Linked DNA regions of Canis lupus familiaris. The protein of the gene in region 1 purifies or fractionates together with the protein of each later gene. This does not show direct contact. Links are inferred from orthologs where the notes say so. Each region holds a gene or a part of one and is shown in the gene's direction. Other genes may lie near its edges. The genes, in order: CUL9, RBX1 and APEX2.

Evidence for each region.
Region 2: the proteins of CUL9 (region 1) and RBX1 purify together in Homo sapiens (affinity purification with mass spectrometry; 5 studies listed by BioGRID and IntAct, with this or other methods). This does not show direct contact. The link is inferred for Canis lupus familiaris from reciprocal best matches to the Homo sapiens genes CUL9 and RBX1.
Region 3: the proteins of CUL9 (region 1) and APEX2 purify together in Homo sapiens (affinity purification with mass spectrometry; 3 studies listed by BioGRID and IntAct, counting the BioPlex papers as one, with this or other methods). This does not show direct contact. The link is inferred for Canis lupus familiaris from reciprocal best matches to the Homo sapiens genes CUL9 and APEX2.

What each region holds. Positions count from the first base shown.
Region 1 is NC_049233.1:11,867,744-11,877,661, forward strand, and holds part of CUL9 (cullin-9), read left to right. Parts: intron 1-487; coding exon 488-623; intron 624-773; coding exon 774-967; intron 968-1,234; coding exon 1,235-1,640; intron 1,641-2,049; coding exon 2,050-2,242; intron 2,243-4,863; coding exon 4,864-5,071; intron 5,072-6,921; coding exon 6,922-7,118; intron 7,119-7,467; coding exon 7,468-7,715; intron 7,716-8,403; coding exon 8,404-8,653; intron 8,654-8,741; coding exon 8,742-8,847; intron 8,848-9,388; coding exon 9,389-9,616; intron 9,617-9,901; coding exon 9,902-9,918. UniProt on the Homo sapiens protein: Core component of a Cul9-RING ubiquitin-protein ligase complex composed of CUL9 and RBX1. The CUL9-RBX1 complex mediates ubiquitination and subsequent degradation of BIRC5 and is required to maintain microtubule dynamics and genome integrity.
Region 2 is NC_049231.1:25,232,701-25,243,262, reverse strand, and holds the start of RBX1 (E3 ubiquitin-protein ligase RBX1), read left to right. Parts: upstream 1-4,415; 5' UTR 4,416-4,497; coding exon 4,498-4,575; intron 4,576-6,484; coding exon 6,485-6,563; intron 6,564-10,562. UniProt on the Homo sapiens protein: E3 ubiquitin ligase component of multiple cullin-RING-based E3 ubiquitin-protein ligase (CRLs) complexes which mediate the ubiquitination and subsequent proteasomal degradation of target proteins, including proteins involved in cell cycle progression, signal transduction, transcription and transcription-coupled nucleotide excision repair.
Region 3 is NC_049260.1:46,895,473-46,906,071, forward strand, and holds the start of APEX2 (DNA-(apurinic or apyrimidinic site) endonuclease 2), read left to right. Parts: upstream 1-4,797; coding exon 4,798-4,954; intron 4,955-5,931; coding exon 5,932-6,015; intron 6,016-6,386; exon of another isoform or gene 6,387-6,563; intron 6,564-8,869; coding exon 8,870-9,050; intron 9,051-9,599; coding exon 9,600-9,746; intron 9,747-10,486; coding exon 10,487-10,556; intron 10,557-10,599. UniProt on the Homo sapiens protein: Functions as a weak apurinic/apyrimidinic (AP) endodeoxyribonuclease in the DNA base excision repair (BER) pathway of DNA lesions induced by oxidative and alkylating agents.

The sequences.
Region 1 (9,918 bases):
AGGGCACGTGTGAGATGCTGTCGGGGCTCTAGCTGGGGGAGCATAACTGGGGCTTCCATGCCAGGGGCTCTGGTAGGCCACCCATGGAAAAAAAGACCCGTGGGGATTGGAATGGTGAAAGGGGGTCAGCAGTTGAGAAGGGCTTGGGAAAATTGGGAAGGCTGAGAAAATTGGATGGGCTGTGAGGCCAAGCAGAGACTCACGTCCAGGAAGCAGAGCTGATACATGGAGACACTCTGCACCCCCACCCATTTAGTTGGCTAGGAGGAAGTGTCAGAGCAGAGACCATCAGGGTTAGGAGGAGATGAGTGGCAAGGCCAACCCCATAGGGAAAGGTAGCCTTTTGCTATACAGAGGCTTTCCCCAACTTAGCCGGGTGTGCATCTGAGGGCTATGGGGCCCAGCTCCAGGCCCAGCCTTGTCCTCTCAAGCCACACCACCCAGGGCTCAGAACCCTATTCTCATTTTCTTCCTCCCTCCACACTAGGTCTTCTGGCAGTCAACGGGCCGCACCTACTGGGTACACTGGCACATGCTGGAGATCCTGGGCCCAGAGGAAGCTGCTGAGGATGCGGCTTCAGTGGCTGTGGAGAAGGGGGCAGGGGCTCCCCTGCTGGACACAGGTGAGCCTTGAAGGGCACATGGACACAGCATGTCTCTGAACAGAGGAGTAGGCCTGGGGCAAAGCCACTCCTGATCAAGAGCTGCCCTAGAGATTCAGAAATGCACTCTGTTCCTGTGAAATGATAACACCGCTGTTCCTGTGTCCTCAGCCCTTCCCTCCTGGGACTGGAAACCTGTGGATGGGCTCTACTCTTTGCCGTACCTCCAGCCCGAACCTCAGAAGAATGAGCAGTTGGGATACCTGACCCAGGCTGAGTGGTGGGAGTTGCTCTTTTTCATCAAGAAGCTGGACATATGTGAGCAGCAGCCAATTTTCCAGAATCTTCGAGAGAACCTAGATGAGGTATCATAGGCCTGAGATATTTGGGTTTATAGTGGGTTTGGAGGCAGGATTCTCTAAAGGAGTTCAAGATAAGGAGGTGCTTAGGGGGAGGCTGGAGCTAGAAGTTAGAGAGTATGAGGGGGCCTGCTCGGAAAGGAGATAAATGCTGTGAGGTCTGGTATGTAGAAGTTTGCAAGGCATGGCAGGAGGCAGCAACCCTCCCTATTTTTGTCCCCAGGACCTTCAAGTCTACTTGTCCCTGAAATGCATACCCTTTTCTGTTGACAGACCCTGGGTGACAAGGCCCTGGGTGATCTCTCCGTGCCCATAGAGATGGCTGAGGGTCTGCTGCAGGTGCTCAGCAGTCGGTTTGAGGGTAGCACCCTCAGTGACCTGCTCAACTCCCAAATCTACACCAAGTATGGGCTGCTGCCTGATGAACTAAGCATCTCATCTTCTTCACGAAGTCACTCCTGTACTCCAGATCCAGAGGAGCAGTCCAAATCAGAGGCCAACTTCTCAGAAGAAGAGACTGAGTCTCCCAAAGCAAAAGCTGAGCCCCTGAAGGCAGATGCAGAACCTGCCAAGGGAAAAATTGAGCCCCCCATGGCACAGAGTGATTCACAGCTATTTAACCAGCTTCTGGTGACTGAGGGAATGGCTCTCCCCCCTGAGATGAAGGAGGCGGCCAGTGGTGAGTCACGTGCTGGGAGGAGAGGGCAAAGAAGTTGGAACAAGTCCTGGCCAGTCCCCACAGAAGTAGTTAGGGTAGAGCAGAGCTGTGGACTAAGGTTGCTGTTGCATGGGAAAATACTCTGGAAGCATGCATCCATCTTCCTTCCTTTGACCTTGGGTGTATCCAACCAATCACTGCTCCCTTCAGTATCCCAGGAAAAGGAGGGTCTGTTTTCCAGAATATCTTCATCTTCAGTGTTTGGCTATTAGATCCCTCACACAGAATTAGAAAAGCTCGGAATGCAAACTTCAGTAATGAATAATGTATTAAAATATCAGTTGGATAACTGGGCTTGACCTTTAAAGACTTCCGAGTTGGAGGAGCCTCAATTTTTCCTAAGCCATTACCTTTCCCTCACCAATTTCAGAAATGGCTAGAGGCTTGCGGGGCCCTGGTCCACGCAGCTCCCTGGATCAGCATGTGGCAGCAGTTGTGGCCACCGTGCAGATATCCAGCTTGGACACAAATGTGCAGCTTTTGGGGCTCTATGCCCTCTCTCAGGCTGTGGAAGAAGTCACTGAACGGGACCACCCTCTGGTCCGTCCTGACAGATCCCTGAGGTTAGTTAGCATGGTGGGAAGGGAAAGGGGTTTGGGCTTAAGCTGCCATTGGGGGAGGATGGTGGGAAGGAGGGAAGGAACTATAGCAGGAAGTTGAAAGGCTGGGGGTGAAAGAAAGGTCAACCTGAGGAGCAACCAAGCAGGATAATGGACTATTCTAATATACTCGGAGGACTTACTCTGTGCCAGGCTCTGTGCTTCAGGTTCTACACACATTCTTCTCTCTGTCTTCCTTCCTGAGGAAGAGTTGATGCTATGCTTATGCCATTGTTTGGGTGAGGAAACTGAACTTTAGAAAATTTAACTCATGGAGTTTGACAGCAGAGCCAGGATTCAAACCGAGCTCCTTTTGGCTCTACAGCTTGAGTTCTGACCCTGCTCCATGAGTTCTTTTATTTTCTTTTTCCTTCCTTCATTTGTTCCTTCCTTCCCTTCCTTCCTTCCTTTTTAAAGTTTTATTTATTTAAATATCTCTACACCGAACGTGGGGCTTGAACTCACGACCCCGAGATCAAGAGTCACATGCTCTTCCAACTGAGCCAGCTGGTACCTCTGAATTATTTTACTTTTTCTCCCTTCCTATTTTCTATTTTCAAAGATTTTTAAAACTGCTTCTTAATTTTACAAATAATACACAAATGCACTCCATTTTAAAAGATCTGAAGAATGTAAAAGAACATAGTACAGAATCCCTTTTTTTGCCTGTTGCCAGTCTGCTGTGGATTTTTCAGACCTTCCGTAGATGTACATTTGTTAGTGTGTTTGGAAATGGAATATCTTCTGAGTTTGTGTTTACATCTGTGTAATCACGCTACATGTTTCTACAATTTTCCCCCCACACTCAGTATGTCTGAGAGGGCTCTCCACGCCCATCCACATAGAGCTGCCTCATTACTTTCACCACTGCGTAGGACTCTGCAATAGGATTATCTCCAAGTTCAAGTACAGTGTTCTATTGGATCTGTTTTCCTCACGTCTGCCAACACTGGATATTACCATTTTTTAAAAAAATCTATCAGATTGGCAGAATTTTAAATGATTGATATCTTTGTTTTAATTTCTTTTCTAGTGAAGCATATTTGCATGCATTTGTTGTGTTTCTTCTTGTACAAATAATCTGTTCTTATCCTTTGCCCATTTTCCTACTGGGTCTTTGTTTTTTTTCTTACTGATTTGTAGGCAATCTGGATATTAATCTGTTGCTAGTGTTTCATATATTTTGCTTTTTTTTTTTCAAAATCGTATTAACTTTTCTGAACATAAAATAATATATGCGTCCTGTAAAAAAAGTTAGAAAATTATGAAGATAAAAATTATCTGAAAAACCTTTGGAGAAAGAGTCACTGTTCACATTTTGGTAAACTTTCTTACTTATATTTCTATATCCATTCATATATATGGCTCATGTGGTATTAACTTGTTTATAATAAATCCTGGCTACAGAAGGGGATTTATATTTGAGGCACATTTGATTCATGTTGTTGTCATCATAAAGCTCATGAGAAAAGACAGACAGAATTTTCCCAGGCTACCTCCTCAATATGTATCTCTCACTATGGAGAAAGATAATTTCACTGTTTTCCTTCTTGTGATGTTCAGGGTGATCTAGGGGACTCTGGAGCACTTCTTTCTTCTCTTCAGATCAGCAGTTCATAGGACTCTTTCCCTTCCTCACAATTGCTTATCTCTTAACTTTATGGACAGTGTCTTTCACTCTGCTAAAGTTTTAGAATTTTAAATTAGAATATTTTAAAACTTTTTTAAAAAAAGATTTTATTTATTTATTTACTCATGAGAGACACAGAGAGAGAGGCAGAGACACAGGCAGAGGGAGAAGCAGGCTCCATGCAGGGAGCCCGATGTGGGACTCGATCCCAGGACTCCAGGGTCACACCCTGGGCCAAAGGCAGGAGCTAAACCACTGAGCCACCCAGGCGTCCCTATTTTAAAACTTTTAATGGCTTCTAGGTTTTGGGTGGCTCTGTCCTTTTCCAAGATTATAAAAAAATTTCCCTGTATTTTGTAAATATTTTAAAATCTGTTTGCAGTTTCCTTATGCTGATGGGCCTGAGGCATTGCTGCAGCTGTAACTGTTTCTGCTGTCTCCACCTCACGGGTCGCATGGCCCTTGCTGTTCTTACTGGCTGGGATGTTACCCTTATCTAGCGATCTGTATCTACCCTGTGTCTTTAGTAGAGTTTTAATTTTCTCGAGTTTATATTTTGATAGCTAGCATACGAGTCTACCCTTGTTTCTTTTTTTTTTTTCTACCCTTGTTTCTTTCTAAACATTTCTTAGCCATTCTTGCGTGTTTTCTCATCCTCTGACTGAAGCTGCCTGTCCTGTGTTTTGTAAAAAAGACCTTTTAGGCATTGTGATAAGAATTACAAATAGACTTATTTGAAAGGGTGAGCCAGAGTCTGTGACCGTTTTTGCCCTACGGTCTCCTTGGTACAGTGAGGAGCCAGAGGCAGTTAGCTGGCAAAGGAAAGGGGATGAGGGGTGAGCCTAAGGTGAGGAGTGCAGGTTGGGGAGCGTGGGGTGATCTTGGTGGAAGGGGTTGGGCAGGGAGTCAGGTGTGACTTTGGGGATGGGAAACGGCCATGTCTCTTCTCTCTAAGAGAGAAGCTAGTGAAGACACTGGTGGAGCTGCTGACCAACCAGGTGGGAGAGAAGATGCTGGTGGTACTGGCTCTGCGCCTCCTCTACCTGCTGATGACCAAGCACGAGTGGCGCCCACTCTTTGCCAGAGAGGGTGGCATCTACGCCGTACTGGTTTGCATGCAAGAATATAAAACCTCCGTCTTGGTGCAGCAGGCGGGGCTGGCGGTGAGTGGACTGGGCCTGGCGGGAGAGGACGATGGGCAAGAGGGCAGGCTGGGCACTGCTGACCTTGGGGAGGTGCTGTGGTGACTTAGACCAGGGAGGAGGCTTGGGATGGAAAGATACAGGTGGGTTAAGGGTGTCAGCTGGACAGTCTTGGAGATTGAGTGCGTGTTTGGACAAAGGGACTAGGATATTTTTAAGAACGACTCCCAGATTTAAAATGGAGCAACAGAGGGGATGCATAGGCCATTTACTTAGTGGGGGAATGTAGCGGGAGGAAAGCTATGGGGAGAAGATCTGGAGTTGTGCTTTTAGTTTTGTCGAATTTCCCATGTCTTTTTAGGTACCTGTAAGTGTTTGGCTAGAGACTAATTTTCTGCATGTGACAAAGTAATTTTTTACCCTTTGATCTGAGTGATACCCTTACATAGAAAATACTCCCTTGCCAGATGTGGGTGCCTTGCCACCCTGGGCCTAGAGGATGGAGAAGGGGGGCCCTCGTTCAAGGGAGCTCACAGAATTGGCTTCCTGACTACTCCAGATACAAGTGCTGGCTGGTAGGAGGTGTGGGCAGGGTGTGTTCTGTCTAGCCTAGGGTCCCTGAGGGGAACAGGTAGGCTTCATCTGAATTAGTTCTGAGAATGGATTCCAGGAGTATAATGGCAACAGCATGGACAGGAGCACAGGTCCTCTTAGAGCAGGCTGTTCCAGAGCGAGGTTGGGAGGCTCTTTCCTGTGCAGGGCCAGCTAGGTGCTGCTCCTCTGAAGAGCAGCCAAGCATTTGTGTCTAGGCCATGTTTGCTCAGAGAATTCCGTACTGACCCTTCCAGATCACATGATCAAAATACAGCACTGGCCCCTAAATTCAAACACTTGCCCCGTAGCAGAATTGCATCATCTTGTTTATAACCTCAGGCTTACAGAATCCAGCTAATTGGGGAGAGGAGGGTAACCGAAGGGATAAAGCCTCATTATAAAGGTAGCATATGCATGGAGGATTCAGGCCTTATAAGGGAGAGTGTCCTGAGAATTAGTTCTAATCTCTATCCCTAGCAGGTTTCTTCTCAAGTGTTAACCCTTTCCCCAGGGAAGAGAGCCTCCACTCTAATGGTATAGCGTTTATCTTCATTTAATTTTCTATATAGTACCAGCGAACAAGTTCAGAAATTCCAAGAATTTTTTCCTGTAATTCCAGCCCCTCTTTCTGTGAGACAACCCAAGTAGTCTTATTGAGGAAGGTTGGCTACTGGCTTTGGAGGCTCAGGGACATAGGTTTGCAGTGTCGGCATATCAGTGGTGATTGAAGCCGTGGGAGTAGGTGAGGTTGCCTAAGCAGGGAGTGCAGAGTGAAAAGGGGGCAGGAACTTCCATGTTCAAGGATTAGGCAGAGGAATTCCAGAGAGGCAGGCCGACCAGGACAATATGAAGTCCTGGAACTCAAGAGAAGAGAGGTTTTGCAAAGCGGGGGTGGTCAAGTGAGATGGAAGACAGTGTTAAGGAAAGCCTTGGAAGACAACTAGATGCTGTGGAAAGGTCCTAATCCTGAGAGGAAGCTGCGGGAGGGGACAGTCACACCACTCAGCCACTCAGCCTCGTTGCTGGCAGAGCGAAGTGGCAGGCTGATTTTATCATTGAGCCTCATTTTTTTCTATGCTTTCTTTGCTTCTCTCTCTTTTTGTTTGTAGCATTTGATATCCCATCATGACCTCCTTCATTTTCATCTCCTACTTGACCTACTTGCAAACAGCTCAGCTGCCCCAAAGTTTGGAGTTGAGAGTGAGGACCTGGCTCTCCTCTTTTTCTGCAGGGTGGCTCTGCCCACCACTAACTCTGCTTCCACATCCCCATTGCAGGCACTGAAGATGCTGGCCATTGCCAGCTCCTCGGAGATCCCCACTTTTGTTACTGGCCGAGATCCTATCCACCCTTTGTTTGATGCCCAGATGACCAGAGAGATCTTCGCCAGCATTGACTCAGCCACCCGCCCAGGCTCTGAGAGCCTGCTCCTTACTGTCCCTGCGGCCGTGATCCTGATGCTGAACACAGAGGGGTTAGCGCATCACCCTCCAAACTCCCGCTAAGCCCCAAGCCCCACTACTGCTCTGCCCACATCTCATCTGCTTCACAGAAATTTCCCTTATGTTGTTATCTTTGGATGAAAAATTGGTGGCCCTCTCTGACTGTTGTTAGTAGAGAGGCTGAGTGACTGGGGGTAGGGAGTTCCCCAGGGAGAGCAGGGACACCCTGACCTTCCTTCCTGGGGTTGGGGGAAGTGACCTGAGGTCAGGGAGCTGGGTGTCCTGGCCTCAGAAGGAGCCCTGGAGCCCTTTCCTCCCTAGCTGCAGCCCTCCTCCTTTCTAGACTTGCTCTCTGCTTCCATTGCATTCACTCTCTTTCAGTTTCTTCCCGGGTTACCACCTTCCTCACAGGTGCTCCTCCGCCGTGAGAAATGGTCTGCTCCTGCTCAATCTGCTTCTGTGCAACCACCACACTCTGGGGGACCAGATTATAACCCGAGAGCTGAGAGATACCTTATTCAGGCACTCTGGGATAGCACCGGGGACAGAACCCATGCCTACCACACGCTCCATACTCATGATGCTTCTCAATCGCTACTCAGAACCACCAGGCAGTCCTGAGCACACAGGTACCATTGTGGATGGCGTGGTTCTTCTGAGGAATCAGGTAGTGCCAGCCTGTGGCCAGGAGGGCTAAGGCTTATATACTAGTACCTTACTGGAAAGATACAATGAACCTCTAGGAAAGGAGTAAGGGTTTTGGCACTCAAGTTAGGTCTTAAGTAGAACTTTCTGACGAAGAGGAGAAGGAGACTCTAGGATAGGTAAGGAAAATTATGTATCTAAGGCCAGTATATGGGGTATCTGGTTAGTGCAATCAGTAGAGCCTATGACTCTTGATTTTGGGGTTGTAAGTTCCAGCCCCATGGTGGATGTAGAGATTACTTTAAAATAAAATCTTTAAAGCCACCATGCTAGGTAGTAGGGAGGTATAATTATAATAGCTTATATTTATTGGCTTATGTAACAGCAGAACTACCACTTAATAATAACAGGTAATTGTATGACTATATGAGATTAAAAATGTGTGTGTTTAACCTAATAGTGTTTGCCATACTAAACTTTATTTCCAGACGCAGCTAACTATGCATTTGGGGCCAGAGAAGAAAATCCCCCACAGTTTGGTGCAAACTACAGACATCCTCCCAACAGGAGGAAAATTGGGGGGTGATTTTCTGGACCTGCCCAGTTTTCAGTTTGACCAACTTGCATGACTCCTCTTCATACTCATTTTTTTCCTCCCATGTGTCCGGGCAGCAGCACTGGAAACCCCTGGTGCCCCAGGCCAGGATGGGTCCCCTGAGCGCCTGATCCGATCCCTGGCGGGGGGCCCGTCTGCAGAGCTCCTCCTGGGCTTGGAACGAGTGCTGTGCCATGAGGGCGGCCCCAGCGGTGCCATGAGGCCCCTCCTCAAGCGCCTCCAGCAGGAGACCCAGCCCTTCCTCCTGCTGCTGAGGACTCTGGACGCCCCAGGGCCCAACAAAACTCTGCTGCTGACTGCACTGAGGTGAGGGGCCTGTTGGGGCACCCATGTATCAGAGGCCAGGGGAGCTGGCAGACTGCAGGGATTTTGCTTGTCTCCATCCCCCAACCAGGGTCATGACCCGGCTGCTGGATCACCCCGAGGCGATGGTCCTCCCCTGGCACGAGGTCTTGGAGCCCTGCCTCAACTGTCTCAGTGGCCCTAGCAGTGACTCTGAGGTACCAGAGCCCTGGCAAGTGCAGGGGAGGGAATGGCAGCTTCTGGGGGCATCAGCTACCTTGTAAGGCTCTGGAAGGCAAAGCGCAACCTTTTTGGGTGGGTCTGAAGGCAGAGGGGTAATTAGGAAGGAATGACATATCAGAGTCCTGAGAACTGGGGCCTTGGAAGTATAAATTTGTTGGCTGCAGCTGCATTTTAGATTCTGAGTTTGGGAGAAGCCCACATTCACCGATCTAAACATTCCTCACTCTCTACCTTTTCGGGTTTATGTGTTTTAGACCAAGGCTCAGGCACCAAGGCAGGCTCTTGAGAGCTTCGCCCTGGCAGGAAGAAGCATTGGGAGCTGTGCCTAGGCTCTGCCGGCTCTGGAGTCCCAACACCCTACTGCTCTATCCCAACCTTTGGTACTCTCCTTTTCCTGGGCTTTCAGGCTTCTCCGAAAACTCATCTGCCACATTCTTTTTTCTAAACCCACCCCTCATCCCTTATGTGGCCTGCCTTTTGTTTCCCATATGTTAATCTCTGTGGCTCTGGGCTCAGATTGTTCAGGAGCTGCTCTACTTTCTGCATCGCCTGGCCTCAATGCATAAGGACTATGCTGTGGTTCTCTGCTGCCTGGGAGCCAAAGAGGCCCTCTCCAAAGTCCTAGACAAGCACTCGGCTCAGCTGCTGCTGGCCTGTGAGCTTCGGGACCTGGTGACAGAGTGTGAAAAACATGCCCAACTCTACAGTAACCTCACGTCCAGCATCCTGGCTGGCTGCATTCAGGTGAGGAGGTGTGTGGGTCCAGAGCTGAGGGAGAACATAAACCAGAAGCAGGGGAAGAGGATTCATTGTGGGTCCTCCTTTGGTAACCCTATTTGGCACAAATGGTAGCAAATCTGGGGCACTTGTTTCCCCAGTCTTTACCCCACATGGTCCTGTTCTGCCAAAATGTGTGAAGAGAGAGGTTGAGTGTTTTGTTGCCCCTTGACTTGTTCTCCATACATGTTTCTGTATGTTCACACTCTTCCCTCCTCCCCATACCCCTTCTCTCCACTGTTCCCACTGCAGATGGTGCTGGGCCAGAT
Region 2 (10,562 bases), on another chromosome or scaffold:
ACCTCAGTATGATCCCCTCTTACACAGCAGGGTTAAGAGAGTTCGTTATCAGCCAGAAGGGATGAGAACTCTAATTCCTTAATTGGCCTGCACCACAGTAGCATGGGTGTTGGGGCACCTGGTTAAAGACTTGCAAGCTGTACAGACTAGGCTCCCCATTCAGCTTTGCTGGCATGGGTGCAAGTGGCACCACATTTTTTCTGTGTTATTTCGAGTAGAGTAGTTACCATCTGAAGTTTTCTGTTTGCTAAAGAAAGCAGCATATTGGGATCACTGGGTGGCTCAGCAGTTTAGCACCTGCCTTTGGCCCAGGGCGTGATCCTGGGGTCCCAGGATTGAGTCCCGCATCAAGCTCCCTGCATGGAGCCTGCTTCTCCCTCTGCCTGGGTCTCTGCCTCTCTCTCTCTCTCTCGCTCTCCGTGTGTGTGTCTCATGAATAAATAAATAAAATCTTTAAGAAAAAAAAGAAAGCAGCTTCTTTTCTTTCTTTTCTATTTATTTCTTCCCTTTTTTGTCTGCACTCTTTGGCATTTCTGGCTACCAGCTTCTTCAGCTCCAAGTCTGAGACATATGAAGTAAAAAAGAACACTCAGGAAACTCACTACCATGTCACTCCTCAAAACCTGAGGTCTCTAACTTATCTGCCTCTTCATCTCTCAGAGTCTTTTTTTTTTTTTTTTAATATAACTTGTTCAGGGATTTCAGTGGTACTTAAAAGAGAAGGATAGGGAAAGGTATGTCTACTTCATCGAAGCCCTAACACTTTTTAAAAAAATTTTTAAGTCATTATATTTTCATTTAAGGAATTTTACATGATTCCTTCCACTGCTAATCACTACAGTTCCTCCAAAATCAGAATCATAATATTCAAAATACCCCTTTAAAAAAGAACTTCTGTTCAATCCACAATTGTCACTGTTAGTACAGAGTTCTTTCAGTTGTGCTTCTTTCATCTCCATATGGATATGAACATACTTCAAAAATTCTCCACCTGTAATCTTTGGGATCCAGTTCCTGTACTTTTAGGCCATGTTCTAGCACTTTTTAAAAGTGCACATCTGACCATGTGAGTCACTGGTTAAAATCCTTCAAAGGCTTCCCATCACTAAAGGTAAATACCAGAACCCTTTGCATGGGTCCATTGAACCACTCAGCATGACCTGGCCCCTACCAGTGGTAAATATTTAATAAATAAATTGGGGAGTGGAAAGCTCTGATATGCTGTGTTTGCCAATTTCCATGGTGTAAATACTACTATTATAGCTAATTCCAAGCTACCAATATAACATTGTCAAATATAGAACTGAAAAGAGATGCAAACAATTGACTCTTGCTCATCATTGCAGACTTATTTATATCACTCTCTCTTTATATTCCAGCCATTCCAGACTTCTTTACGGATGCATTGTGCATTCTCCAGCTTTGAGTCCCTTTTGCACACTGTTCTACCTGGAATGCCATTTTCTTCCATATCACTCAGCGTGTGTGTGATGGAGCCAGGGTACATCAGCTTACAAGTGCTTACAAGAGCAATTTTCAGGAATTTTGCAATCTGGCTGTTCACACTACAAATCAGAGCTTTCTTGTTTGTTTGGTTGTTTTTTTTAGAGCTGGTTTTTAAGCATTTACCAGCATCCTTCTGCATCTGCTGCTTTTTGTCCAGCTTATGCTTCAATCTCAAACCTTTTCCTCTAAGAAGACTTCCTCACTACCCACCCCCCCACACAGACCCACTTTCTGTTTCACAGTACCCCAAACTTCCCTTTTCCTAAAATTCATTGGAATGATCAATAATTGACTTGCCTCTCTGCTAGTATACCATAAGAGCAATGATGAAAGGGGCCTTTTGCAAATACTTTTAAAAGCAATTGCCTTTTTACCTAGATTAGCATGGGGTATTGACATAGCAGGTTCTTTTTTTTTTTTTAAGATTTTATTTATTTATTCATGAGAGACACACAGAGAGAGAGGCAGAGACATAGGCAGAGGGAGAAGCAGTCTCCCTCTGGGGAACCTGATGTGGGACTCGATCCCAGAACCCCAGGATCATAACTTGAGCTGAAGGCAGACGCTCAACCACTGAGCCACCTAGGCATCCCTGACACAGCAGGTTCTATAGATATTTTAGAAATATTTGAATGAGTGGATGGATGAGAGTAAAATTACAACCTATTACATTGTAAGCTGAGTGAAATTATGAAGAAAGATGGGAATCTGTATGAAATCTACAAAAAGTTTTCTTAGGTTTATGCAGTAGAGTCCAGGGTACTGAACATCATGGACAATCACCACGCCAAGGCAAATCTCCAAAGGAGAGATCAGTACATGAGGTTTTCATAGCTTAATGGAACAGCCCCTAAGATCATACTTCTCCCCACTGTAGCTCTATACAAAGCCATCAACTTGCCAAATGTTGCTGCTTCCTCTCCTGTATCCCTATAATCCCTTCCTCGCAAAGCTTAAAAACTTAAAAAAAATTTTTTTTTGTCACTGTTAGTCCCTTCCCCTAGTTTAAACCCTCCAACACCTTCCCATAATATCTGTAGATCCCTACCTGATCTGGCCTCTGCCTGTCTGTCTGACACCTCTTACCACAATCTCCTTGCTCCATAAGCTTCAACTTTGTTCATTCAACACATGCTGAGCCCTGCCCTGTACAAGGCACTGTATTGTTACCAATAAACAAAACAACAACAACAAAATCCCCTCTTGGTGAGGACACACAAAAGACAATAAACCTGATAAATAAGTAAATAAAAACCATGTTAGATTATGTGTACCATTTCCTAAAAATGAAGACAATGTATTAAATGAATGGGTAACAGATCATGCAGGATCTTTTAGGCCCTTGTAAGGACTTCAGCTGCAATGTCACTCCTCATAGAGACCTTACCTAATCACACACAATTCTCCCTTCAATTTCATGATATCTTTTTGTCTTCTTAATAGCACTTATTGATACCTGAGGATGGTTTTTTTTCCTCCCCAATGTATTTGCTTACTTGTGTATTATTTCTCTACCAGGAATTTGTTCATCACCGTGTCTCTCCAATTTATAACACGATCTCATACATACTCAATGAATTTGTTTAATGAAGGTTAAATATACACTTAATACGTTAACTTACTATGGGTTTTTAGTATCCCGTAGGGGCCTTTGGGAACACAATCAATTAGATGACAAGAATCTTAACATGGAATTATCACTCTAACAAAATTTGGGCTAAGGAAAACTTTGTAGGGTTCCTGTAACGTTTTAAGGTCTCACACAATTTTTCTCTTTCCAAGTCTGGTGTAAGCCCTGGTGGTGTTTTCATGGATTTGTTGTTCCTGTTTATGACTAAGGCAAGGAAACAAATCGCAGTTCTTCCGGTTTGGCAGTGGAGTCCATACACTCCATTATGCTCCAATTTTCTTTCAAGAGAAAATACGAGATTCCAAATAAGCCAATACGAGATTTAGGAGTGATCTAGCCGAGTCATACCTCTGCAGGGTTAGAGAGCCACAAGGGGTTCCGGGTGCAGACATGAAGTACAGGTGCTTTGGCTGGGAACGACCAGTAAGAATCAATGGCCAAACGCCTCACACAAAGTCAAGTAGGACTGCAGTGTGCCCACGGCGCAAGGAGCGGGAAGAGGATGGAGATCAGGGAGAGGGGACCCCCACAGTTAGGTGGCCAACTGAGGAACAGGAAAGGTGTGTTAAGAGTATGTGAAACTGAAACCCTGCGCCTTAACCAAAGGGCATTCTAGCACGGATGGCGTTTGGGGCGGGCGGGCGGCGGCATCCCCGAGGCTCCAGGTGGGCAGGTTGAGGCAGGACGGGAGAATGCCTACGCGGCTGGGCCCTGGAGAGGACATTCGGGGAGCTCCCGGCTCCCTGTCGAATCCCGAGCATTTCCCGAATCGGAATCAGGGACCTAACGGCGCCTGGGCCCGGCTTTCCCAGCGAGGCTGCACGTCGGGCCTGGCTCGGAAGCGAGCCGAGACCCGCGACACTGCGGGGTCTCCGGTTTCGGCTGCAGGAGGCGGGGCGCCCGCCCTGGCCGCTCCCCGGGCGGAACGCTGCGGAAGACCCGCCGGCGCTGGAGCGGTGCGGCAGCGGGGAAGGCGGGGCGGGGCCGGGGCGGCAGGTCGCGGCCGAGGCGGAGGAAGCAGCCGCCGCCCCAGCCGAGGGAGCGCGGCCGGGGGCTTCCCGCGGGAGGAGACTAGTCTTTCGAGCGTTTCCACCCGGTTCGAGCACGTCGGCTCGGCCCCGCCCGGCCCCGCCCCGGCCACCGCCTCTTCCCCAGCCGACTCGGGGGCCGGCGGCAGGAAGGAGGAGGGAGGGACCTGCGCCAGCGCCTTTAAGAGGCGTGGCCACGTGCTCCGCCCCCACCTGCCCCTCGCGCGCCAGTAAGGGGCGGGGTGCGAGAGGAGGTGCCGGGCCGGGAGGGGGAGCGAGGCGTGCGCTGGTGCGCAGGCGCAGTGGCCGGACGACGGACCGTGTGTTTCCAAAATGGCGGCAGCGATGGATGTGGATACCCCGAGCGGCACCAACAGCGGCGCGGGCAAGAAGCGCTTTGAAGTGAAAAAGGTTGGGTCTCGCCAGCGCCTTCCTCAGAGAGGCTAGAGAGGCGCGGATCTGGCTGGCAGGCCCGAGGATGACCGAGGCGCGGAGGAAAGGGCTTCATTTCAGGGCGTTCCTGGGACCGGGTACCAGGAAAGGAAGCTGGGGGGCGGGTCTTAGAGTTGATCGGCGTGACTGGGGCCCACTACCAATGGCAGTATTGGTTTCACTAGGAGTCTGAGGGGCCAATCACAGAGGCGCTTGTTGAGATGCGCGGGGTTGAGACTTGGCTGAGGGAGCCAAGCGCCTGAGCTGTCACTGGAGTGGTGGAGGGGTGGGGAGGAGTGGGTGGGGTGGATGGAAGGGGGAGTCGGAGCGCTGCGGTGGGTGGAGGATGGGGGCAGTGCGGCGAAAGCCGGGACCTGAGTTCCTACCGCAGTGGAGGCCTTTGAGGAGCCCGGCTGGTGATCTCCTTGCCCCGCCCCTTCCCGAAGCTCGGGGTCCCTCTGACTCTGAGGGACCCCAGCCTGGTCCTCGCCTCCTCGAGGCCTCCCTCAGCCCTCTCTCTAGTCCTCGCCCCCGCCGAGTTAAAGTGTCTCCAGTGTAACAACTCTTGGCTCTTCTGAGAGGTCTGTTGGTTTGTCACACAGCCTCCACAGTCCTGTGCTCGTTTCCAGAATCCCTCTGTCCAAAAAGGAAAAGGGGGGGGGGGGGGGGAAAGCATGGTGGAATTTGTTAAAAAGAAAATGCGAGCCCAAACCTTGTGTCATTTAGGAAGGGTTGAGTACTAGTGGCGAACGACCTGGTGACTGTGGGAAAGCAAAAATGTGGAACGTGTCTTTTTGCATGAACTGCTTTATAGTGGTTTGCCAACAGTTTGGGAGGAAAGTGCCGATTCTCACATGATATAAAATAAATCTGTTCAAAATGAAGACTCAAATAGGGGAAATGTTATTCCTGGAACATCTGGCTAAACACTGACAATATTCCCCCCTCCTAGTGCTTTTTTGGTGTTTCATTGTGGGCACTGCATGCTCAGTTACAGCCAGCAGCCATATTGAAGAATAGAAATAGGGTTTTGTTGTGTTTTTTTTTTTTTTTCCCCCGTTCAAGTTGAAGCTGTCGGAAAGTGCTAAAGAAGTTTAACTAGACGGGGAATTGCGTTCGAAAGAGATGAAGGTTTTGGAAGTGGCACCAAATTGGTGGATGAAAAGGGAGTTTGGGGATATTTATAATTGCAGAAGCCAGAAAGGTTGAATTACTTAAATACCGCTTTTAAATGAACTCTTAAGTGGAATTATCTGAACTAAATAGGAGCCTGAGCTTGTAAAAGTTTAGAACACCAGTTTATTTGATGGAAGGAACTAACCAAAATTTTAGTGAATTCTAGAATTTGTTGTGAAATAATCTTGTGAGATTTAAGTGATGACCTTGCTCTGTACTGACACTGGATAATTAGTTATCCAGCTTATCCCACGATTACCCATTTTATGATCCAATCATCATCTTAGTTCATTCTGTCCCCAGCTTTCACCTCCCCACTCATACCTTCACAGCTGCCTTGAAGAGCGTATATTTACCTTTGCAGAAATTCAAATTTGTGCTTATTAAGCCTAAAACAGGCTCTCAAAAATTATTCCCGGTTTTCTTACATTGATACAGTTGACTAAATTATTGTAAGCTGTAGGAGAAAATAAAGAGGATTCATTAATTTATGTTCATATACTCAGCCTTTTGGAAAATGGGTGAGCACACTTGTAGTCTGCTGTTGCCCTCTGATAAAATGAATAAGAGTAAGGTAATATCCCCAAGCTCCTGTGTCTGGTGGTCCTTGTGGCCAAAGAGATGATAACTGTAGCTGCAGCATGAAATCCTAGAGTGTGTGTACGCCTGTGTTACAAGGAGAGTGCATTGTTCCCCCTTTTTCTCTTTGCAGTGGAATGCAGTAGCTCTCTGGGCCTGGGATATTGTGGTTGATAACTGTGCCATCTGCAGGAACCACATTATGGATCTTTGTAAGTAACTGGAGGTGGATGGGAGGAAGTTGAGAAGGTTACAGAGATTGTGGCTATTCTGATGTGACCAAATTTCTTCCCAAGGAGATATAAAGCATAGTCAGAACACTTGGTGTCTTCTGCCTCTAGTCCGTTGGTATGTTTGAAATAGAGTAGATTTAATGATATCCTGGAGACATACTCATCTCTCAGAATAAATCTACTCAGTCTAAAGATGGCAAGCACACATTTAGAATGAGTTGTGGACACAGAGGCACTGTTGATTATTCCTCTATATTTCCCATCTCATACCCAGACTCAAAGGCAAAAATAGTGAAAGGAAAAAAAAAAAATAAACTTTGAGCTAAAATATTCTACCAAAGCTAGTTTTTGCTTGGCAAGATTTATAAAGAAAAGAAGCCAAAGAAGTAAGGAATTTCAGTGTTAGCCCCTAAGTTAAGAGGACATCGGTGCCAGCATCTAAATAGACAACTAATTGCAGTAAAGAAGTTTCATTTAAATCTACAGATTCCATCCCATATAGTAGCCAGTATATGGTGGGTTTGATTATAGCTATCCGTGGACTCCGTGTCCTTATAGTAATAGGGGCAAGTATGTTGATCACACCAGGAACAGCTGAGGTTACTTTTTCTTCCAGGTACTGAAATGGTTTGTTACAGAGATCAGATATGAGATGAAGAAATTTCAGCTTTGTAGAGTTGCATTTACAGGCACTTACTTTGAAAATTACTCACCTGCCTCTCCAGCTTCATCTTGCACCACTCTCCTGCTCACTCTGGTAGTTTCTTTGGCTTTCTTTCCATTCTCGAAGTGTCCGTGCTCTTTTTTAGAGCCTTTAATATGCCCTGTTCCCTTTGCCTGGAATATTCCCCTTCTCCCCACTACCTTTGCCTGACCCACTACTGTCCAATCTAAATATGAGCCACAAATGCAAGTACATACATAATTTAAATTTTTCTGGTACCCACATCAAAATAAAAAGAAACAGATGATTTCTATTTTATTTATCCTACTATATCCAAGAAAATTTCATTTCAACATGTAAATATTTTAAAGTGAACTATTTTACATTCTGTTTTTGGTACTATTTGAAGTGTACTTACACTTAAAGCGCATCTCAGTTCAGACTAGCCACATTTCAAGTGCTCACAGCCACATGTGGCTAGTGGTTACTTTATTGGACGATGTGGAACTAATCCGTAGTTGATCTTTAGATCTCACCTTGAACTAGCTCAGAGACGTGTTCCCTGGCCATACTTAAATACGCACAGACTATGATGGTTCCATTAAATATTCCCAAGACCGTCTATACTTTCCTTGGTAGTATTTAATTTAGTTGGTTCTCAATCATATCTATGTTTTTAACTGCTCTACTCCCAGCATAGTGTCTAGTACATAATAGGTTCTTGCTAAATACTTGTCAGTGAATAATTAAAATACAAAATAGAAGAATAGTCTGTGATCATTGCAACTTGGAAAGCCCCAATCAAATATCATGTATTGATAGTTTATTGCCCTTTGTTTCTTTGAGTTTTGACCCTGTTTACCTTTTCACACAACAGTCAAAGCAGACAGCAGCTACCATGATGTTTAATATAGATAGAAGAAACCCATCACAGAAAAACACATGCACAGTTTTAAATGTGTTTGGGTGGGGTCTTTGATTACATGCTTGCCAATTTTGTTGCTTTACATTTTCGTAAGGAGTTGTGCCCAAAGCAAATTTTATTTTCTTGGTCTCTCTTCTGTAAATAGTTAATGATTTCAAATAACCCTGCTTGGGTTTTTTTTCCTGCTTCTATATTTAAGTTATTTTGTGTCTCTCTGGATGCAAGAGAATGTGCTTTTTGGGAGGAGCACCACAGATAAAGGCTATTGATACTCTCTCTTAGAGTTGAACTCTTGAGGGATCAATGTAGGTCTTCAGTTAGACTCCTGTCTGTTTTATCATATATTTTAAATGTTAGGTGAAGTAGAATAATTGAACTCTTTTTTTTCTTTAAGTAGGCCCCAACGTAGGGCTTGAACCCACAACCCTGAGCCTGAGGGTCTGATACTCTGCTGACTGAGCCAGCCAGACACCCCAGAATATTGAACTTTTACAACAAGAAATTATAAAAGCATTTTCAAGTCATTCATTTATTTAGTTTTAATTGATAAAACAGTTTATTATTTTTATTTCTTAAGGTTTTAATTCCAGTTAACATACACCATAATATTAGTTTCAGGTGTACAATATAGTAACTCAACGTTTCCATATATCACCCGGTGCTCATCATGACAAGTGTACTCCTTAATCTCCATCACCTATTTAACCCATCCCCCTACCCACCACCCGTCTGGTAGCCATCAGATTGTTCTCTATAATTAAGAGTCTGTTTTTTATAATTAAGAGTCCTGTCTTTTATTCATGCAATGAATACTCACATCCTGGGCATTTTGCTAGGCACCAGGATAAAACAATGACTGAGATCAAGTTTTTACTTTAAGAAACATAACCTTTTGTTTATTACAGACACTAAAGAGAAGTCTGGTTGCCACAACTGGGTTTGTCTTCCTTTAAAAAAATAAATGGATTCTGGGATCCCTGGGTGGCGCAGCGGTTTGGCGCCTGCCTTTGGCCCAGGGCGCGATCCTGGAGACCCGGGATCGAATCCCACATCGGGCTCCCGGTGCATGGAGCCTGCTTCTCCCTCTGCCTGTGTCTCTGCCTCTCTCTCTCTCTGTGACTATCATAAATAAATAAAAATTTTAAAAAAATTTATAAAAAAAAAAAAATAAATGGATTCTGATTCTTATAAAAAGACTTTTTGTTAAAGCTGAAAATAAGAATCTTGATTTAGCAATGGCCATTTTCTAATAAATTCTGGCCTGGCATTAAGTGAATAATTATATACATAGCTATAAATAAATAAGAGTGATTATGGTTGTGCCCAATTGAGAATGTTTGGTCTGAAGACTTCCTGTTTTGAGTCAAAATTGATACTACATGCCCTAGTCTAGCTTTGTATTTATTGTACATTGCCCCATTTCTTTGTTGTTCTAAAGAGTTGCTGAAATGCACAATATTTCTAGGTTTTCTCCATTACCTCAGATAATCTTGTTCCAAATGAAAAGGGCATCCAGAAGGGCTTAGACCCAGCCTTTGCCCGTGAGAAATTAGCCTCTTCCTAAACCATAGGTCCATATCCCTCTTTTAAAGTGAAATCTGGGCAGCCCAGGTAGCTCAGTGGTTTAGTGCCGCTGTCAGCCCAGGGCCTAATCCTGGAGACCCGGGATCGAGTCCCACATCGGGCTCCCTGCATGGAGCCTGCTTCTCCCTCTGCGTGTGTCTCTGCCCGTCTGTGTGTGTGTGTGTCTCATGAATAAATAAATAAAATCTTAAAAAAAAAAAAAGTGAAATCTGTCCGTTTCTGAGATGAAGCCATTGCTTCCTTGGCAGTCCTTTGGTGGTAATGCTCTTGTATTGAAATTTAAAAGTCCCCAAGCTTTATGTATCACATGCATTAAGCCTCTGCCTTTGTAGGGGTATGATAGGAACCATCATGTGCTATTTGTTTTGGCTGCTCTAGGTTGACAGTGAACAGTTACTTTTCCTGTTTAAATGAAGGACTCAACTCCTGTACTCACTCTGCACCAACAGCTCAAGAATGTTTTCTATTTGAAAACATTTTACACTCATATTTAATCATTTTCCATGCCATTTCCTTTCTTATGTGGCATTCTAGATTGCAGTCCTATCCCTTCTATATATTTTTGTTCTTTGTTAGGAATTATCAGGTAAAAAATACATATGTATTTGGTCCCCATTCACTCTGTAGAAGTGGTTTTGTTTGCTTATTCAACTACCTAGAGCCTACTTTGCACTTGGCATAAAAAGACAGAGTCCCTTAAAAATACCTTGACCTAGACAAATTTATGTACTTTGAAATAGTTGTTATTTATTTCAATAATTATGCCTCTTACTTAGCTAATGTCATAATACCCTGGCCTCATCTG
Region 3 (10,599 bases), on another chromosome or scaffold:
TGTGTGTATATGTATATATATGTATGTGTGCATATATATGTATATGTATATATTTTTGTGTGTGTATATATGTATATCACATCTTCTTTACCATTCATCTATTGATGGACATTTTGGCTGCTTTCATATCTTAGCTATTATAAATAAGGCTACAATAAACATAGGGGTGCATATATCTTTTTGAGTTAGTGTTTCCATTTTCTTTGGGTAAATACTCAGTAGTGGAATTGCTGGATTGTATGGTATTTCTATTTTTAGTTTTTTGAGGAACCTCCATACTGTTTTCCACAGAGGTTCCCTCAATTTGCATTTCCACCAACAGTATATGAAGGTTCCTTTGTTCCCACACCCTTGCCATCACTTGTTATTTCTTCTGTTTTTTATTTTGGCCATTCTGACAGATGTAAAGTAATAACTCTTTTTTATTTGCAATGTTAATAATCCTAATAATAACTTTTTACATGTATGTTTTCCATTGTCCACAAAACAACAACATATTCCATATCCTAGTTGCTCCTTACATTCTCACTAGTTTCATAGGGAAACTAAGGTCTAGGGAGATGGGAAAAAGCTTGTCCAAGGTAATTGAGCTGGTTACATGAACCCCCTTCTATGTTTACAGTTTTGTCCTCATGACTCTGCCAAGAGGCAGAAAGATAATTTTAGCAGCAGGAAATCTGAGATAGGAGGCTAGCAGGCTATTGGCAAGGTCTGAAAGGGTAAACCTAGGGTCCAGGCTTGAAAACCCAAGTTAAAATTGCCTGGAACTGGAACTAGCTAGCTGGTTTTTGTTGTTGTTGTCATATTTTTTTTTATCTTGCTTTTGTGGTGTATGTGTTGTTTGTCTGGGTTTTTTGTTTGTTTACCTGTTATCAATTTTGATCCTAGAAGCAGGAGAACTAAACAAGATTTATGGAAAGGTCTCAGGATGGCTGTTCTAAATCAAGCCCCAACCTACTTCTCTAAGCCATGTCTCTCTTTCTAAGCCCATGCTTAACTTGCGCTTGCTGATTCATGGAGTCCCCAAACATAACATATATATATTTTTTAAACCTTTGGGCTTTTGCTCCACCTGAAATGCCTTCTCTTTCCTTCCATTCTCAGTGAAATCTAACTCAATCTTCAAGAACTGGCTCAATGTTGCCTCCTCTGGGAAGCTTTCCCTGTAATCTGGGATAGGCATTATCTTTGGTTCTCATATTGTCTGTATGTTTCCATTTATCTGAGCAAGTATCCACTAGTTTTTACTGGTGTACTTCCCTACTAGACTATGAATTCCTTGAGGATGGGAACTAGACTTCAGTTACCTGCGATCAGTGTTTCCAGTATTCAGCTCAGGTTCTGGCAAGGAGGAAACACTTGCTCAATGAGTATCTCTCTGCCCTAGATGAGATGAACGTATAGACAATCACTATTCGGAAAAGTAAATGTCATAACTGAGATCTATACAGGGAACTGGGTGGGCAAACTAACTAGGTCTGAAAGTAGAAGGTGGTATCTAGAAAGATTTTTTAACCTTGAATGGGGCAGAATAGAATGAGCAAAAGAATGAAGTCCACCCCACCTGAAAAAGTCCAATCAACTGGTTGCAGAAAAAGAGTTCACTCAGTATCAGTGACTCACTCAAGACCAAGATCTGATTCTAAATTGGGTTAACTCTATGGAGAAAAGCACACAGTGTGACTTCCTGAGATTCACAGGTCCTGATCATCCTCCCAAAGTATAGGGTATGTGGGAGAATCCCACTAAAAGCACTATTAAACCCATACTGATGGGTTACAAAATCACAAATGGAGTATCTCTATTAGTAATTCTTAGGAGTATGTGGGTATAAATGCATTTGTAGGGGGTAAGGGTGTACAGGGGAGATTGGCCACATGCTTATAGTTTAGGTGCGGATGTGTATTAGGCTTTCTGTGGCAACCACCTAGGTACCACTTAATTCTTAGTCACTGTTCTGGCCCACTATCCCCCCACCACATTCAGCCTCACACCTGGAGCCCAAGGATTACTGTATCCCAGTCCCAGGAGTGGCTCTCTACAGACCATAGTCACTCAGAGAGAAGAGCAGCTGGAGGCCTGTGGGTGGTATTGCCTGTGGAGGCTACAGAAAAAAGCAGGATCACTAATCTCAGACAGAGCATGGAAGTTCTGAAACATCTCCAGAAATTTGGTTCTTCTTCTCCTACTCCTCTTCACCTTGAGATAGCCCTCTGAAGGACGTAGGCCAGGGATTTCAATTTCCATTTTAGTAAGAAGGTTATTGAAGCTCTGAGAAGGTTGAAAAGCTTGTTCAAAGTGCCACAGAAAACAAGACCTACTGTATATACTATTGGGGGAGGTAAGATATATAATCCCTACTATCCAGTTCACTCAAAACTGGAATAGACCAAGAGAGACTTCTAAAGGTGCTAGAGAACTGCCCTTTTGGTTAGTGTCCCACAAAGACAGGTGGCGATGGATGACAGAGAGATATAGATATCATCTTTTCCCCAACTCTTTCATACCCTTTAATGCTCACTTCAAGTAACCCCTATACAAAGAAAACTTTCCAGAAACCTAAAGAATGGATTTGGAATTGTGTATCCCTATCTATTTTTCCTTCTGTCTCACCTACCTGTTCTCCTAGAGGTTTTCTCTTCCATCACTAATTATCCGACACACAGCTTTCTTGCATTTAGACCTTCAAAGCAGGTACCTGGGTGGCGTTAAAGAGGGAGTCTCGAGGCGTTGGTTGGTTCCTTGAAAACACTGTGGAAGTACCCTTAATAAGAGGGGCATGTGTGTGCTCTGTTGAAATATCAGCTGTGTTAGTTGTCAAAGAAGTTCCTGAGCCACCGGAGCCTTTTCTCTTCAGGCCAACCATGTGTTCACCTTGCCCCAAAGGTCAGAACTAATATTAACAAGCAACTGCAGAATGGGGAAATTAAAACCAGCAATGTAGACAGGCAAGATCTGGATTTCCTAGGGGCTGAGTTTCAGATTGGTCTTTAGTGTAAATGGGCATGATCTCTTACTGGACAGTGATTTGGCAATATGAAGCAAGAGCAATAAAAATGTTAATTTCCTTTGTCCTAGTTATCCCTCTCCTGGGACTCAATCCTGAGCCAATAACCACCAAAGCATGAAAAAGCTCAAAGCACCAAAATTCTTATTTTAATTGCAGAGCTATTTATCCTGATGGCAACAACTGGAAGGTAACCTTTAAGTCCTCTAGGAGGAAAAGCAGCTATTTGGGCCTTTTCTGCAGACATTGAGGATGATGGTTCTAATAAGGTTATGGTATTCTGGGGGGAAAATTATGCTGCAGCTTAGGGTGAGGAACCTAAGAATGTGAAGTCATGCTTTTCCTTGGACATTGGGCATGTCTATCATTTCTATTTTTGTGTTCTCAAAAACAAGTCACTAATCTGTTGCTTTTGCATTTGCTCCGTGTTTGTTTATTCAATTAGGAAATATTTATTGACTCCTAAATATGCTGTGCCCTAGATTAGAGGATGGGGCTAACAAGATGAATCAGACATGGTCTTTGCTCTCAAGTTGCTGGCAGTTGTGTGACAAAAACAGCAATCAATGGTAGCTCTGCATTGCGATAAGTGCTGTGACAGAATGGACCACAGGGTGCTGTGAGGGCCCAGAGAAAAGACCTAACTGGGGAAGTGTGTGGGTGTTAAGGAAAAACTTATCCAAGAAAGTATTCCTTGAGCTGATTAAGATAGGCTTTGAATCCTGGCTCTACCACTTCTGTGAGACTGGGGTGAACTCACTCATTCTGTCATACTTAGCCTTAATACCCCTTATGGGGTTATCCAGAGAATCAAACAAATAATGCATGTGGAAGAGCCATGGGGTACATTGGGAGACAGTGCTGCTCTGGATCTTGGGTAGCCCACTTCAATTCCCTGGGCTCGACTTTACTTATCTGAGAAATGGAGCCAGGAAAAAGTATGTGTTGGGGACTTAAGAATGTTATAAAGCCCAAGACAAATAATGGCTAGAGGGTGGGCTTGAGACAGGTTCCTCTCTTCCCCTTCCCTTATAAATCTAATTACACTAGCATTTCTTTTTTTTTTAAGATTTTATTTATTTATTCATGAGTGACACACACACACACAGAGGCAGAGACACAGGCAGAGGGAGATGCGGGCTCCATGCAGGGAGCCCAACGTCGGACTCGATCTCGTGTCTCCAGGATCACGCCCTGGGGCTGAAGGCGGCGCTAAACCGCTGAGCCACCCGGACTCCCCATGCTCTAGAGCATTTCTTATTGCTCCCTCTAGCGGCGCGGTTCCCTTCGAGCCTCCCTTCCTCCACCCAAGCACAGTTACAGCAGTAACCCAGGACGACAGAGGCGCACTTGGAGGTAAGGTCAGTCTCACTGGGAGCGGGGCTTCGGTTACCGCGCGGTTTCGTTCTGCTGCTTAAAAGGTGGCGAAATCCCATCTGTAAGTAATTGGAAGCACCAAGGGGACTTTAGAGCTGCTCGGAAACGCAGTCAGACTGCGGTGTGCGGACGGAGTGCTGAAGGAGGAGAAGGAGCCTAACTGGAGGACTTCCTCTTGCCATTCATTCATCCTAGGCATTTGCACCACCCCATCAACTTCCGCTCCTCCCGCCAAATGAGAACTGAGAGGCTCGAAGCCCCGCCTCACTTTCGCCGACATTTTTCGTGGCGCGCAGGAAAACGCTTGGGCCAATGCGCGCGGAAGGCGGGATCTGGTTGGGCCGGGGGCGCCTAGTTGTCCTGTGTCCCCTACATTGGGCGCGTACTGTGAGGCTTTGCAGTTGGCCGTCAAGATGTTGCGTGTGGTGAGCTGGAACATCAATGGGATCAGGAGCCCCCTGCAAGGGATGGTATATGAGGAGCCCAGCAACTGTGCCGCCATGGCCATGGGGCGCATTTTGGACAAGCTGGATGCCGACATCGTCTGCCTTCAGGAGACCAAAGTGACCAGTGAGCGCTCAAAAATCCAAGATCCCTACCATACTTTACCATTTCCACTAAATTTTTCCCCAACTTAATCTCATTTTACTTTACTATTTCTCTATCCGTAGAGTCCTCCTCTTAGACCTAGTTCAGAATCCTGACCCCTTTCTCTTAAACCCCTTTTTCTCACTCCAGTCTGATGTCTTAATTCCTACTTCTCCTGTCCTCAGCACAATCTTAATTCCCTCATCCGTGCAACCTTCCTCCTCGTACAGACCCTCTACATCCCACTCATTCTCCTGCCCCAGCTCAGTACCCCAAATTTCTTCCTCATACATTATCCAGCTCCAGCTCCCAAGTTAAATCCTCCAATTCCCCTCCCCCGCCCCCAGCTCATATCCTTTAATTTCCACCCCATTTTTGTTCCCAGCTCAGACTTCCTAATTTCTTCCCTTTTACCGCTCCCTCTCTCAATCCTCAGTTTTCCCCTCAGATCCCTTAGAGCTCCCCATTTCTCCTTTCCAGCCTCAGAACCTCTTATTTCTATCTCATGTCCTATGCCAAGGTTAGATTCCCTATTTCCCTCTCTCACACCAGAGCTCAACACTCCCCCCCCCATTCCTTCCTGCTCCCTTGCACTGGACCCTGAGACCCACTAACAACTTTTTCCTCCATCCCCAGTTCAGATCCTCTAATTGCTTCTCTCTCCAACCTCATATCCCCAGCTCAGATTCCCAGTTCCCTCTCTCATATTTCCATTTCGCACCTCCAGCTCCCTCCATTCACCTAATCACTAGCTTCCTCCCACCTAATTCTCCTCTCATTCTATAGCTTTCTTATTCTGATATCAATTCCCTCTCTAGTTTCTACCTTTCTAACTCCTCCTCTAATCTTACTCTGGCTCTGATGTGTGCAAGGAATTGCCCTACAATGTTAATTCCAGACCTTTGTTTCCTAGGCTCTACTTTTATCTCTGACACAATCTTACATCTGTTTTTTTGCAGGAGACGTGCTCACAGAGCCACTGGCTATCATTGAGGGCTATAATTCCTATTTCAGCTTCAGCCGCAACCGCAGTGGCTATTCTGGTAAATGGGGCTTTCTGGGAATGTTAAATTAGTGATGGAGGCAGGTCGGGGGGTGAAAAAGTTTCCAATATTTGATGAGAAAATAATAAGAAACTCAGTCTTTTAAAAGCTACTTTTAATACTTTGGAGTGAGCCCCACAGGAATAAAAAACTCTGGGAAGGGGGTAACCCCCTCACCCACAGGATGGCCTAGGGGAAGAGAGGCTAAGGGAAGGAAAAAAAGCACAGGAGGGATCCGCTGCGGAAACAGGACAAAAATGAATGCTAATGGTGCTGGGACCTATGAGCACTACAGGAGAAAATGAGAGCATGGTGGGACTGGCTCCAGGCACACAGGGGAGACCAAGAGGGTTGGACATGTAGCCACAGAGCTACTTGGGTTCCTCCTTCTCATTTGCCTTTTTTTGCTTTTCCTGAATGGTCTCTGAGGCCCTCTGTTTGCAGGTGGCAGCAGAAAGCCCATTATCTCAGTACTTTCCCTTAACCTAGTAGCTCTGCTTTTTCATATTCTTCTGGTGGATGCGCTACCTCTGGTTACCCTGGGTCATGGTGAGGGCAGCAGATCTGGCCTACCTCCCTTGCATCCCCTCATTCTGTCCCATGTTGTAGGCGCCACAGGCTTTTAGTCCACAGAGCTAAAGTCACATAAAGTTACATGAAGGATGGTTTTTTTTTTTTTTTTTTTTAATTTTTTTTTTTTTTAAATTTTTTTTATTTATTTATGATAGTCACAGAGAGAGAGAGAGAGAGAGAGAGAGGCAGAGACATAGGCCGAGGGAGAAGCAGGCTCCATGCACCGGGAGCCTGATGTGGGATTCGATCCCGGGTCTCCAGGATCGCGCCCTGGGCCAAAGGCAGGCGCCAAACCGCTGCGCCACCCAGGGATCCCGAAGGATGGTTTTTATGTGTAAAATTACCCTATTTGACTTTGGAAGCACAGTCATGTGGTGGTTTATTGTATGAACTTAGGACTGCCAGGGTTTGAGTCCTACCTCACTTCCTAGCTGTGTATCCTCTGACAAGTTACTTAACCTCTTTGTGCTTCAGGTTTCTCAGCTGAGAAATGGAAATAATGCCTATGTCCTAGGGCTACTACAGGCATACCTTGTTTTGTATATATACATAATATATATATATGTATATATACATTTATAAATAAACATATATAAGTAAATACAAGATAAGCAACAAATATATGAATTTACATATCTATATATTTTCATATATACATACATATATAAAGCACTTCACTATATTGTGTTTTTTTGAAGTTCGATTTATTTTTTAAAAAATATAATTAACATACAGTAGTATATTAATTTCAAGTGTATAATATAAAGATTCAATAATTCTATATATTTCTCAGTGTGCATCAAGAGAAGTATATTCTTAATCCTCTTTATCTGTTTCACCCATCCCCCCTACCCACCTCCCCTCTATACTTAAGAGTCTAAGTACCACTTTTTTTTCATTTTTTTTAATTGGAGTTCAATTTGCCAACATATAGCATAACACCCAGTGCTCATCCTGCCAAGTGCCCTCCTCAATGCCTGTCACCCAGTCACCCCAACCCCCTGCCCACCTCCCTTTCCACTACCCCTTGTTAGTTTCCCAGAGTTAGGTGTCTCTCATGTTTTGTCACCCTCACTGATATTTTCACTCATTTCCTCACTTTATTGTGTTTTGAAGATACTACATATTTTATAAATTGAAGGTTTTTTAAGATTTTATTTATTTATTCATGACAGACACACAGAGAGAGGCAAAGACACAGGCAGAGGGAGAAGCAGGCTCCATGCAGGGAGCCCGATGTGGGACTCGATCCCGGGTCTCCTGGCTCACACCCCAGGCTGAAGGCGGTGCTAAACCGCTGGGCCACCGGGGCTGCCCTAAATTGAAGGTTTTATGGCAACCCTGTATTGCAAGTCTGGCACCATTTTTCTAGCAACATTTGCTTACTTCATGTCTCTTTTTCACATTTTGGTTAATTCTTAAATATTTCAAACTTTTTTTATTATGTGTAATTTTTTTATTATTTTTTAAAGATACATACTTTATTTTTTTAAAGATTTTCTTTATTTATTTGAGAGAGAGAGAGTGAGTGAGAGAGAGAGAGAGCATGAGCTGGGAGAGGAGCAGAGGGAGTGGGAGAAATAGGCCCCCACTGAGCCGGAGCCCCCTGTGGGGCTGCATGTGGGGCTTGATCCTGGTACTCTGGGATCATGACCTGAGCCGAAAGCAGACACCCAACTGACTAAGCCACCCAGGTGCCCCTTAATAATATTTGTTGTATGGTGATCTGTGATCAGTGCTTGCAACTTGCTAAAAGCTCAGATAGACAGCATTTTTTAGCAGTATTTTTTAATTAAGGAATATACATTGTTTTTTTTTTAGACATAATGTTAGCACACATTTAATAGACTATAATATTGTAACCATATAACTCTTATGTGTACTGGGAAACCAAAAAATTCATTGGACTTTATTGCAATATTTGCTTTATTGTGGTAGTCTGTAACTGAACTTGCAATATATTGTGGTGTTCCTGTACAAAGATTAAACAAATTAGTCTGTGATAATAATAATGGCTAATAATTTTTGAACACTTACCATGTATCCATATAAAACATTTAGACCATTAGCTATTATTGTTCTGTGGCTTTTTTAGATGAAGGAACTGAGACTCTCAAAATTGCCTCAGGCTTTCAGGAGCCATCCATGGCCCTTGAGTTGGGAGAGTTGTCAGTATAACCACATTAGATGAAGTTGACTCAGGTGACCCATTTGGGGGCAACAAGCAATACGATAGGCTGTTGACTTCTAGGACCTCTCAGAGTATCCTGTCTATCTCCAGGTGTAGCTACCTTCTGTAAGGACAGCGCTACTCCCATGGCTGCTGAAGAAGGCCTGAGTGGCCTACTTGCCACTCATAATGGGGACGTGGGTTGCTATGGAAACATGGATGAATTCACCCAAGAGGAGCTTCGGGCTTTGGATAGTGAGGGCCGGGCCCTCCTGACACAGCATAAGATCCGGTAATAGCCCACATCCCTTTGCACTGAGCACTGCTGGTTCTACTCTTAGTGTAGTGACTCTGAGGCTTACCTTGTATACTTATATTCATCATGGAAAACATCCCAGATTTGCCTTTCTTGGACTACAGTTCTGACTGGGCTACTCATTATGTGACCTTGGGCAAATCATATTCGCCTCTGGGCTTTGAGTTTCCTATCTCTAGAGTGGGGAACTGGCTGGGAGGTATAGCTCCCTTATTACCACAGGCACCTCAAAGGCAACTTAGCAACTCATCGCCCCAAGTTGCTCTCTTTCTGAGTATCCTGTCATTGTGAATGGCAGCACCGTCACCTGGTTTACCTGGGTGTTATCCTAGATGCCCCTCTCCCTGTTTTACCTGTAGTCTGTCCCCAAGTCCTGTGCATGCCGGCATGTTCATGTATTTCTGTCCCCTTCACATCCATCCCACAGGCAACCATTAAGTGGAAGCCACACGATGTGGAGAGGGGAGATTTGGAAATGACCTTTTCTTGTGTGTGTGTGTGTGTGGGGGGGTCTCTTCTCCCCAGGACATGGGAAGGGAAGCAGAAGACCTTGACCCTAATCAACGTGTACTGCCCCCATGCGGATGCTGGGAAACCTGAGCGGCTGACCTTTAAAATGCGCTTCTATCGCTTGCTGCAGATCCGAGCAGAAGCCCTCCTGGCAGCTGGCAGGTATTGTAAACCTAAGTGGTACTTGAGGTTCTAGGTTCCCAGCCCATTTAGGTATCAAGCTCCATTGAACGGGATGTGGGATCTTTGTCTTTTGAGTTCCTTTACAGCCTACTTGGAGACACCAGCATACCTCCCAGAATGGGCTCTGCTCTCTATGAGCTGTGAGGATCAGGTAAAGTGGTACAAATATGGGTTTTGTACTTAGATACCTTTAAGCACCTATCCTGGCCCTTTTATTCACTATGAGTCCTGAGGCTAGTTCTGCTTTTATTTTCTCAAGTGAGTATATGAATCCCTACCTCACAGGATAGTTTTAAGGATGAAATGAGATAAAGAAGGTAAAGTGTCTAGGAGCAAATGAAAAGTCTTGTCCCAAGAAAGGACAGGAAAGTGAGGGTGGGTTAGAGTAATCAAGGGATGCTTCCTAAAAGAAGTGGTACCTGAGCTCAACTTTTAAGGACCAGAAAGATGCCATTAGGTAGAGATCAGTGAGATAATCATGTCAGGGAATGATCTCATCTCTGGAGATCAGAATTGGGTTGGTCAGGCATAAAAGGTAGCAAGGTTATGGTAAGATTGGAGAGGTAGCCTGCTATGCATTGCTGTGGACTCCTACCTTGGACTCCCTGTGTGAAAAGGTGCCTTTCTGAGCTCTTGGGCCCAGAAGAAAGTAGATGGGCCAGGACTATTGGTTCCCTGTCTTGAATGTCTAGTTGATAATCTCATGTCATGTTTTTTAGCCACGTGATCATTCTGGGTGACCTGAATACAGCCCACTGCCCCATTGACCACTGGGATGCAGTCAACCTGGTAAGGCTCTTCAAGGCCCCGTTCCTCACTTCTGACCATGGTT